Canis lupus familiaris: one gene and its partners. The protein of the gene in region 3 binds, or shares a complex with, the protein of the main gene of each other region. Links are inferred from orthologs where the notes say so. Each region holds a gene or a part of one and is shown on either strand. Other genes may lie near its edges. The genes, in order: PRPF3, LSM7 and LSM6.

Region 1 (3,745 bases), on a different chromosome or scaffold from region 3:
CCCCCGCATTGAGAATGTGTTGAGCCTACTTCAAATAAATAATTTTTTTAAAAACAATAAAGTTCATAATACCTAAGAATGTTGTCACATTTCTCTGTAGTCATAGTCATCCCCATGGAAATTCTGTACCCAGATCATTTTATGTTCTACGAGATCTCTATCAGTTGACTTCACAAAATTAATCCCTCAGCTCAGAAAAGAATACCCTCATTTTGGATGTGCTTTCTCTCCCTTTTCTTTCTTTCTTTCTTTTTTTTTTTTTAAGATTTATTTATTTGAGACACAGAGAGAGAGGCAGAGACATAGGCAGAGGGAGAAGCAGGCAGCCTGATGCAGAACTCAATCCCAGGACCGTGGAATCATGACCTGAGCCAAAGGCAGACACTCAACCACTAAGCCATCTAGGCACTCCTCTCTCCCTTTACATCTTTATTCCTTTCTTTTTAGCTTTTAGCTTAGCAGAGAAAACATTATCATAAAGAACTCTCTATAACAAATTTTAATTATTTACCCAAGTTAGCAATTCTTCAAAATTATTCATGTTTACATTTTGCTCTCCTAGTTAAACAGTAAAGCCTGGAATGCCTGGGTGGCTCAGTGATTGAGCGTCTGTGTTCAGCTCAGGGAGTGATCCCCCCCAGGTCTGGGGATCGAGTCTCACATTGGGGTCTCTGCGAGAAGGCTGCTTCTCCCTCTATGTCTCTGCTTATGTCTCTGTGTCTCTCATGAATAAATCTTAAAAAAAAAAAAAATAGCATAGCTCATGAGCAGAGAGAAAATGTTATTTCCCTGATTTTCTCACTAAGTGCCTAAAGCTAATAAACAGCACTGACCTCAATTTTCAAGCTAACTTCCTCACAGCAGTGCTACAAATCAGGGTCTCTGAGAGTCAATCTTTCAAGATTTTTTGTTTATTTTTTAAAGACTTTATTTGAGAGAGAGAGAACATATGAGCGGTGGGGAGAGGCAAAGGGAGAGGGAGAAGCTGAATCCGGACTTGATCCCAGGATGCTGGGATCATGACCTGAGCTGAAGGCAGATGCCAAATTGACTGAACCACCCAGGCACCCCTCAAGATATTTTAAGACATCTTTTTTCTCTTAAAAGATGGTCTAATTAACTTCTACTTTCTTGGCAGGTTTATTCTCTATAAGACCTGTTGCTAAACTGTGTATTTAATTTTGGTATAACCACTGGAAGCTAGTAGATTAACGTAATGAAAATAGGAGTGAAAGATTTTGTGTGCCTCAGGACATGTTATATGAATAATTCTATGGCAGCTCTACTCACCTCTCATGATATAGCAGTATAGTGTATAAATCAATACATATTAAATGTACGTTACTCAAAAGAAGCAGATTCAGACCCCAAAATGAGTGAAGAAAAGAGTTCACACTGAACATTTGAAATATCGAACTCTTATTTGGCAAGTAATTCCTCTGAGCCTCAGTTTACTTGTCGTACAAAATGAAGCCAATTGCCATATCTAAATAATCCTTAATCATTCAATAAACACTGCATAAGTACTAGGTCTCAAGCAGTGTACTGTGTGCTGAGGATACAAGTGAACAGACAATCCTCGCCTTAATGGGGCTTATATTCCACCAGAATTGAATCATGGGCTAGAAAGGGTAAGCATTTTGAAAATCCAAAGAACAAATCACGTACCGCTCTATCAGATGAAATGTGTGCTCAAGTACCATACTAACAAATGTATTCAACTTCAACCCAATCCTCTAGGAAATTAAACAGTCAGTGGGCAAAAATAAAAGTTTCAAACAGTAACTAGCTTTTTGTCACTAATCAAATGTTCGACAATAACTGCCTCGGGCGGGGCGGGGGTGGAAGTAGAGGAAGGCAGGATCTCTGAGCAGGTAGGAGAATCCAATCTTCTGAAAAATTTCCTTACTCCGTGTTCTTCCCTGCTAACCTGACTTTCCCCCCTGCAACTCCCATTCTTCTGTTTGCTATCTCCGACCGGTTCCCTACCCCACCCTGTTCTCCCCAAACTCCTCATCTTACAGCTAGTCTCCCCACCCCGTCCCCTTCCCGCCCCCGCCCTTTTCCTCCTCACAATCTCACTCCAACCCATTCTCCCTCAGAACCCTGTACTTCTCTCAGCTTCCTTCCCACTGAACGTTCCCGCCTCGGTCCTCCCCGTGGGCTGAGTCCCGGCCCTCGCTGCTCAGACAGGAGGATACCCTCAAAGGGCCCGGGGCACTACTCACCTCACAAACTTCAGCCTCTGAGACGGAGCCCGAACGTTACACCGGAACCGGAAACCCTCGGACCGCCCTACGGCCTGCCGTCGCTACCGCCACAGCTGCCGCCACGCCGCGGTCCCCCACATGTGACGGCGAAGGGCCGGGCCACCGATTTGCGCAGCCGTAGTAGCTACTTTCTCTGCGGCGGAGCGCATGCGTGCCAGGGCAGTAAAGTTTGCGCATGAAAGTTCCTGCGTCTTTGGGTTTCTCCAGCTAAATCTGGTAACTAGATTACTGCGAAGTTAATGTTGCCTGAAGCAGAAATTGGGCTTGCAGTACTCACAGTGTGAATAAATGCGCTAAAAGCGAGGCTTCTGGGACGCCTGGGTGGCTCAGTGGTTGAGAGCCTGCCTTGGGCCCAGGGCGTGATCCTGGAGACCTGGGATCGAGGCCCACGTCGGGCTCCCTGCATGGAGCCTGCTTCTCCCTCTGCCTCTGTCTTTGCCCGCCCCCCCCCCCCATGATTAAATAAATAAAAATCTAAAAAAAATTTTTATTATTATTATTTTTTTTTAAAAAGCGAGGCTTCTGGGTTCGGGCTAAACTGAGCCTTTCTGGTAGGCAGTAAACCATCTTGAGAGGCGGCACCACTTTAACCTTTTTCCCTTACTTAAGTGTAGTGTCAGAGACCACCAAGAAAAATGACTAACATAGGACGACTCCGAAGATAGCATGCCCTCCATCTGTGCCTTTTATGGTTTCATTCATTCATTGGCGTAATACTTATTGACTGCCTACTGCCATATGCCAGACATCCTCTGAAAATCGATATTGCTTAAACTAAGGACAGGGGCTTTAAAGTCAGACTGCCGAGATTTGTATTCTAGATCTCACGCGTTAGCTATGAAAGCAGGCAAATTACTGAAGCCCTGTTTCCTCACCTGTTAAAAAAAATTCTCTTCACAGGGGCTGCTCTGAGGTCAACAATGACAGAATGAGGGTAATGCACTTAAAACAGTGCTTTTCATAGAGTTAAATAAGCTATATTACATATAATAGTCAATTGCCTATTTAGTCTGGAACACATCTTAAGTTTACACGATAATGAAAACTAAACTCATGATTTCACACCGCATCCGCCCTGCCAAAATACCAGCTCCAAGTCTTCATTCTCAGTTAAGAGCAACTGTATTACAGTTTCGGCAGGCCAATAATCTTGGAATCATCCTGGACTCCTGTGTTCTGTTGGTCCTGCTTTCAAATACATACAGAACCCACTTGTTTCTCACCACCTCCACTACTCTCATTTTTATGTTTCGATTATTTTAGGAGCCTCCTGCTTCCAGTCTGTCCCCCTTTTGTCTCATAATGTAGGTTAATAAGCAAATTATCTAGTACTAGAAAGGCAGCTATTATAGTGACCATGTAAACACCTCAGAAAGGTCGTTATGTCCTTGCTTAAAACCATTTCTTGGCTCTTCATACAATTCAGAGTAAAATGTGCCACTCTATTACCTCTGTGATTTCAACCTACCACCACT
Region 2 (3,675 bases), on a different chromosome or scaffold from region 3:
ACCCCCCGGCTGGCAGCAGGCCCCCCGCTGGCCCGGAGACCTCTGACCCCAGCTGCCCGAGGAGGAGCACGCTGCAGCTGTCACCCCATGAGCATCACCGCCGAGTCCTCACTGACGTCTTCCTTTTGCAGATGAGCAACTGACGCCCGAAGCTGGGGCCTCCCTTGCCCAAGGTCACGCAACAGAACACGGGGCGGCGGTTGGACCCCACTCGGGACGCGGGCTCTCGGCCGCTCCCTGTGGGGAACCGGGGGCCACGCCGGACGGCTTACCGCAACCACGCGGGTGGGCGCTAACCTCGCGCGGAAGGGGAAACTGAGGCTGGGGGCCAGGCGGGGGGCGTCCCCGGCGGCGGCCGGGGGCCTCGGGACGGAGCAGGGCCTGGGGAGCCGGGGGGCCTCCCGGACTTCAGACCCAGGCGCAACTGGGCGACGCTGCGGCTGGGGAGGGCTCCGGGGGGGGCCGGCCCGCAAGGTCACGGCCCGGCTCCCGGCCCGCGGGCCACCGCGCGGGGGGCGAGCAGACCCGAGGCTGGCCCCCAGGCCAGGCCGGGCGGGGCTCCCGCGGGGCGCGGGGCCCGGGGCGGAGGGACCGGGCGCCGCAGCCGGCGGGGCCGGCGGGGCCGACGCAGCCTCACCTGGGTCGCGAGGAGCAGGAAGGCCGCCGCGAGCCGCGCCAGCGCCGCCGCCGCCGCCATGTCAGCCGGGTCGAGCCGCAGGCGTCGGCAGATGTTTCCCAGCAACGCCCCGGCGCGCCCCGCCGCGCCTGCGCCGTGTGCGCTCCGCGCCTGCGCACGGGGGCGGGGTCAAAGGGCGCGCGGCGGCGCCTGCGCAGAGCGGCGCGCGGCGGCAAGATGGCGGTGAGCGCGCGGCGGGGCCGGCTGGGCGGGCGGCGTGGGACCCGGCCGCGCTCTGCGCCTCACGCGCTCTGCTTCCCCCGCAGGACAAAGAGAAGAAGAAAAAAGAGAGCATCTTGGACTTGTCGAAGTACATCGACAAGACGATTCGGGTGAAGTTTCAGGGAGGCCGCGAAGGTGAGAGCCCCCCGCCGCCCGCCGCCCGCCCCGCCGCCCGCTCCCCGTCGACGGCTCCGGGAGGCGAGCAGGGTGGCGGATGCCCGGGCGCAGGCCGGAGCGCTTTGCTGGGAGGACTCGCGACGGCCTCCGTCCGACGCCGTGCACGCGGGGAAACTGAGGCACGGGAGGAGCTGCAGACACCCCGAAGCGGCCGAGGCGCAGGCGGGGTCCTCGCTCCGAGGCAGCCGCCCCCGCTGGTCCCCGCTGGTCACTGACCCCCGCCCCGGCTCCTTGGGCTCCGCACTCGTGACCCTGACGCCAGCCAGATTGTTCGGGGCTGTCGGGGCGCTGGGGGGAGGGGAGCAGCCAACCCCCGGATGCCGCCAGATGCCAGGACATGCCTTAGCTTGGGCACCCCAACCAGGCATCTCCCTTGCCGAGCCGCGGCCCGGTGTCAAGGATGGTCCAGAGGGGCCTGTTAAACACAGGTGGGCCCTCCTCTGGGCCGCCCGGTCCCTCCCGGGGAAGGGGCAGCCTTGCGGAGCTCTCAGCTGCCACCAGGCTGTGACGTGCACCCGCCTGCTGGGCTCTTACCAGGCTTAAAACACAAGGCTTCTCTGGGTGAATGAATTTCAAAGATCTCGGGAGCTTTCTCCCACTATTCACGAGCCAGGGAGCACCCCACCTAGGAGACGGCGCAGAGCCCCAGAGGGTTTCGTAGGCAGAGGGTGCAGGAGCAGACGCTGGATCGCTTCCGGCAGGGTCCCCCTCCTCTGGGGGATGCTGGGGGTTCTTTCAGGAAGACTAGCTCGGGAGGGCTGACCTGGAAGTTCCAGGCTGACTGGTGGAGATTGCATTCCTGGGAGAGCTGCAGGTGCGGCCAGGTTAGGTATGAGGCCGCGGTGGGGTGGCCGGGGCTTGGCACGAGTGACGCCGTTGGGAGTCTCTCTTTCTAACTCCAGGTTAACTCCACAGTCATTTTTCTGCTCTCAGCTCAGGATTCTTGTTCCAGGAAGCCTTCCCTGATCCTCCACCCTGGGCCCCACGCCTTTGGTGTCAGCTCCTGGTACCGTCTGTCACCGTTCCCCGCTTTACGCAGTAAACACGACACCGACCTCTGCATCTTTCCCCTGGAATAGTGAGGAGGGCAGGAGCTGGGCCCAGTGTTGCTGGTGCGTGTAGGCAGTGTGGCCTCTGGGGTCCTAGCACCAGGCAGCTGGAGTCAGAGCCACAGCTCTTTGGCGCACTGGCTGTGGGACTTCGGGCAGCTCACCCCGCCCCCCAGGGCTCCATTTCTTCACTCCCCCCACCTCACCGGGCGGTGGTGAGGATCACAGGGTTGGAGGCACCTTCGATGTGGTTTCTGACACAAGCAAGCACTTGAGCAACATTTCATTTCTTCAGCTGCCTCTTTGCTTTCGTTGTGTTTCATGAGACAGTGACCCAGATCCTTTCTCCCGGAGATGTGGACGATTGGGTAGCATCGGCGTGGTTAACAGCGCGGTGCCTGCAAGTCTAGGTAGCCAGCAGTGGTGAGAACTTGAACCCGAACAGATGTTTGCTCTGTCTGCGCCGTGCTGGCTCTGGGACCCGTGAAGGAGACACAGCTCTCGTTTCTCAGGGTGCTCATATGGGTTTTCTACGCTGTGTAGCAAGTTGCCACCACGTTAGCAGCTTACGCAACATGAATTTATTATCTTGTGGTGTTTGTCAGGAGGAGTCTGGGTGCCTTGGGCTCAGGGGCTCAGGTTGCACTAAAGGAGTGTCTCAGACGCCCTGTTGGTTGTGGGCAGGGTTTGGTCCCCTGCGAGGGTCCTACCCCTGTAGGACCAGGGTCCCCGAGCTCTGCTACAGGTGTCCTAGAGGCTGCCCGCCGGCCCTGGCCACAGCACTGTCCACAGCATGGCAGTTTGCTCCCTCAAGGCCAGTGGGAAGATCCCTCTCATGCTTTGAATTTTTTGACACAGTTCCTGTTCCCCTGAGCTCATCTGATTAGGTCAGGCCGGCCGAGCAGAATCTCTTTAGGTGAGCTGAGAGGGCACTGATTCTGGGACCGTAATCACACGTGCCCGTTCCTTCGTCTTTATCCTCCTGTAACCTAATGGCAGGAGTGGCATCCCGTCCTATTCACAGGTTCCCTCCCACACTTGAGGGGAGGGGTTCCACTGGGTGGTCACCGGGGTCAGCCCCATTTTAGAACTCTGCTCGTGCCCCACGGAGGAGGGCAGACCCGCAGGTGCGGCCACAGTGCCCGCTGCCCATAAGCTCGTCGGGGAAGTGTCCTCGGGACCTTTGTCTTGCGGGCGGAGGGGAGGTCAGTCGGGGAGAGAGGAAGGCACAGAGCCAGGCGATCTCGGTCACGGCTGGAGGCGTGAAGGCGCCCTGAGCCGGTGAAGCTGCTCACAGGAGCGCAGCAGGCCGGGTTGGGCCCCCACGCCGTGGTGCGCAGAGCTGTCGGTCCCGTCCAGCCCCGTACTCCCCGCAGACACTACAGCAGCGCGGTGGAGCGTGGTGGGGGCACCCCTGCTTCGCCAGCTGTGCCTGGGCCGGGAGGCCTGAAGGCCGGAGGGGCAGGGCTTTGGGGCGCGTCCCTCTGGCCGTGTAGGCGCCGCTCCTCTGCGCATGCGCGCCACTGCTGGTTTCCGTATGGCTCGTGAGCT
Region 3 (3,745 bases):
TAGTACAATTTGAGGTCTTTTGTGAGGAAGGCTTTTTAGGGACAGGGTTTTCTTTATATCTGATTATGTTTGTTCTTTGCAGCTAATTATTTTATTTAAATGATACTTAATTTTTTTCACATTATATCTTATACCGCAAGAGCTTCAAATAAAGCCTTTTCAAGAAATCTGTAATGCTTGGTTTTTACCCAAAGTGAGCTTTTATGGAAGGATATAAGGAAATCTCTTTTCACCACCAAATCACACCCAGTTGTTCTCTGGCCGTCATATCAATCAAAGATTCTTTCTTCAGCTAAGACAGGTTTACGAGAGGGGAAACTCATGTAGATCTTAGGGAAAAAACCCTGCATCTTAGATCTGTAACACTTAAGAGTTAAGAATCTGTCCAAAGATATTATTTCTTTGTTTAGAGTGTTGCAAATCACAAGCAGAATTAAAGTATAGGTTTTAAGTTGAGGGTATGTGTGTGAGGAGAAAAAGGAATCAAGTGTTGGTATAACACTTTACTTCTTTTTCTTCGCCCTTTCCACTAATAGCAAGAATATTGAGAATCCATGCAGAATTCCAAACCAAGTTCCCATAGCAGCACTTAAATAATGTCTGCATACCATTTCCAATTAGAACTAGATTGTAATGTAACGCAAGTCATACCATTATAATACGGAGCTACTTTAGGGATTTTAATTCTTTTTGTGGCAATTACGTTGCCATGGAAACAATCTCTTGCTAATAATGACTTCATCGCACGATCAAAATCCAAAGTGGATTTAAAGATTTGAGGATGCCTGCTTTATTTATTTGCATTAACTTTTTCAAGGACCTTTCCGAGCCTGTATAGTCATGACCCTAGTAGTCAATTCCAGTTTAGTAGGACTTCAAGCTATTTCTTGCATCTCTGCCTAAAGGAAATCCTGCCTAAAAGATCACTTCCAGGCTTTGTTTTGTTTTAAGTATTTTAAGGGGTGTTTGCTTTCTGCTAAGAGGTAGCAGCAGCGGCTCTTTCTCCTCTGACCGCCAAAGCCCCAACTTTGCCTTCGGGCCAAACGAGACTCCCGGCTCGGCGCGCGCCGCCGAAGCGCGGCCTTCTTGGGCCCCGCAGGCTGCCGTAGCCCGGAAGGGCGCTCCCCGGCGGCCGCAGAGGCGCGCCGCCCGCTCCGGCAGTTTCACTTTCGGTTTCGCCCGGGCTTCGGCGGAGGCCGCAGCTGCGCGCCACCTGGAGCGGGGGTTTGGGTCCCGGCCGCCAGGTGAGCCGGGCGGCCGCGCGGGCGGCGGGGGCCCCGGTGTTCGCTGGCCCGGGGTGGGTGCGGGGAGCGGCAGCCGGGAGGCGGGCCGCGCGGACCCCAGGGGCCCGGCCCAGAGCCCCCCGGAGGGGCGATGGACCCCGCGGGCGCCCGCCGCAGCCTCCCCGCGCCGCCGACTCGCCTTCCGGGACCGGGACCGGGGCTGCTGGCGGGGTCCTCGCCGGCGGGTGGGCGGGAGAGCGGGCCGCGGGGCCCCGTGGGCCGCGCCGGGTTCCGAGGGCTCCGGGGCCGCCGCGGCCACCTTACCGGGGCCTGGGGCCTCGGGCCGCGGGCGCCCGCAGGGTACGGCGTCGAGTCCTGGCGCCGGGGCTGCCGCGGATGAGCGCGCGCGGCCGGAGCAGGGGATGGGGCCTTAGGGTGCCCCCCCCCCCCCCCAATGCCGCAGAGACACAGGCTGTGGAGATCCTGGACTCAGAAGCGCTTAGCGAAGGAAGCCCTATTCACTGAACCCCTTCCATCTTTACTCTTGCACGTGCCACTTCCTGTTTGAGCTACGACTACCTGTGCCCTCCGTTAACAGTACAGAGAGTTGTCCGCTTTCATTGAAAAGTGCCTCTTAAATGTTATTTCTGGTTTTGCGCCTTTTGGTGGGCTACCTGTTCTGTCCTTGTGTAGGTCCCGTAAATTATTCAGCCATTTCCCGACTGTGAGGCATTTAGGGTGTTTGCGAATTTTTGTTTCATCCTAGCATCCCAGGTAGTACTTTGATAAACGTTATTTTTAAAACTGCATTTCGGATGATTCACTTGGATTGATTCTGAGCAAGGACATTTTTACAATAGGTGCTGTGCCCCAGTAAGGTCTCTTCAGATCTACATACCCCTTGCCAAATTGTTTTCCAGGAGAGTTTTAGCAGTTTGCATTTCATGTAAGGTTGTGCCTGTTTTCACCAAAAGTATGATAGCTCATAATATGTATTTCTAACACGTCACCCTCACTTTTTTTTTTTTTTTTTTTTTTTTTATGGTGGTGTTTCATAATGCCAATTGCTTGAATTTTGTGCAGGAGTCTAGAGAATTATCTTGGGTTTGTGTGTGTGTGTGTGTGTGTGTGTGTGTGTAAAAGTATTACTGGAGTTCCTGCATAGGCTGACAATGTTAGAGCAGGATGATCTCTTAAGTGGTCATCCAGCATAACTCCCTTATTTTGCAGATGAGGAACCTGGGGCCTTGAGAGGTGAAATGATGAGTTCTCCAAGGTATACAGCTACATTAAGTAGCAGAACTGGGATTAGAATTCAGGTTTCCCATCTCCCAAGTGAGTACTCCTTATGCTGCATTGGGTGGTCTCTCACTAAACTGTGGCATACTTGTATGAGCATTTTTAAAAATCTTGGCATCACTTGAATTATTTTGTCCTGTTAGAAATAACAGAGATTTTAGTCATCTGAGGGAAGTGTAACACTTGGGAAATTGACCATTTTCAGGACTGGGACTAAGAAATCCATTACTTAAAATGGCAACCCTTCAAGATTTTTTTTTTTAAAGATTTTATTTATTCATTCATGAGAGAGAGAGAGAGGCAGAGGGAGAAGCAGGCTCCATGCAGGGAGCCTGATGCGGGACTCGATCCCAGGACTCCAGGATCACGCCCTGGACCAAAGGCAGGCGCCAAACCGCTGAGCCACCCAAGGATTTCCCCCCCTTCAAGATTTCTTGACAGTTGTTTTTAGATTCCCTTTATGTCAGGATAAAGTATCTAAAAAGTTAGAATTTAAAAAAAAATTAAAAGTTAGAATTTGTACTCGATCATCTGATTAGAATTGAGCTGTTTGTTCTCATTTGTTATACCTTGAAAGTTTTTTAAAACTCCTTGTTGCTTGAATACTAGAGAACAATGGTTTTTTGATAAAGGGTTTATAACAGAGTTTTTCAACCTCAGTTGACATTTTGGGCCGGATAATCCTTTGCTGTGGAGCACTGTCCTGTGCTTTTTAGAATGTTAAGCAACATCCTTGGCCTCTATGTCCTAGCACCACCCTCCTCATTCAAGACAGTCCAGAATGTCTCCAGATGTCCGCATTTGCTTACAGGAATCATTTGGGAAGCTTTATAAAATGTCAGTTACGGTGTCCCCTTGCCTGGGGAGTCTGACTAGGAGTAGTAGACTTCAGGAATCTGCATTTTAACAAGCATCTCTGTTGACTCGGATGCAGCTGGTTCTTGTACAACACAGAAACATTTCTATTTTCTTTGTCTTTTATTTGGTGGTCAGTAGCAGAGATATGACTGTGGTATAGCCATTTAAGTGCACAGATGATGCAGTGCTAGTCACTATACCCATAGTTTGCGGGTAGGGGTGAAAGGGACAGGGATTTTCCTTGGCACTGTCCTCAAATGTCTCCCACAGGATTGATTGGCCGGTGAGCTTAGGTTCCTTTTCCCCTGTCTCTGAGAAGCTTAGAACCTACTGTGGGAGACTGATCAACAGGAAAACTGCAGAAC

Evidence for each region.
Region 1: LSM6 (region 3) and PRPF3 share a complex: the UniProt entries of both Homo sapiens proteins name them as parts of the precatalytic spliceosome. The link is inferred for Canis lupus familiaris from reciprocal best matches to the Homo sapiens genes LSM6 and PRPF3.
Region 2: LSM6 (region 3) and LSM7 share a complex: the UniProt entries of both Homo sapiens proteins name them as parts of the precatalytic spliceosome. The link is inferred for Canis lupus familiaris from reciprocal best matches to the Homo sapiens genes LSM6 and LSM7.

What each region holds. Positions count from the first base shown.
Region 1 is NC_049238.1:60,208,476-60,212,220, reverse strand, and holds the start of PRPF3 (U4/U6 small nuclear ribonucleoprotein Prp3), read right to left. Parts: upstream 2,615-3,745; 5' UTR 2,229-2,614; intron 1,937-2,228; exon of another isoform or gene 1,669-1,936; intron 1-1,668. UniProt on the Homo sapiens protein: Plays a role in pre-mRNA splicing as component of the U4/U6-U5 tri-snRNP complex that is involved in spliceosome assembly, and as component of the precatalytic spliceosome (spliceosome B complex).
Region 2 is NC_049241.1:57,200,681-57,204,355, forward strand, and holds the start of LSM7 (U6 snRNA-associated Sm-like protein LSm7), read left to right. Parts: upstream 1-843; 5' UTR 844-853; coding exon 854-859; intron 860-942; coding exon 943-1,033; intron 1,034-3,675. Other genes in the region: SPPL2B (signal peptide peptidase-like 2B), read right to left, coding at 638-697. UniProt on the Homo sapiens protein: Plays a role in pre-mRNA splicing as component of the U4/U6-U5 tri-snRNP complex that is involved in spliceosome assembly, and as component of the precatalytic spliceosome (spliceosome B complex).
Region 3 is NC_049236.1:44,950,061-44,953,805, forward strand, and holds the start of LSM6 (U6 snRNA-associated Sm-like protein LSm6), read left to right. Parts: upstream 1-1,085; 5' UTR 1,086-1,244; intron 1,245-2,453; exon of another isoform or gene 2,454-2,558; intron 2,559-3,745. UniProt on the Homo sapiens protein: Plays a role in pre-mRNA splicing as component of the U4/U6-U5 tri-snRNP complex that is involved in spliceosome assembly, and as component of the precatalytic spliceosome (spliceosome B complex).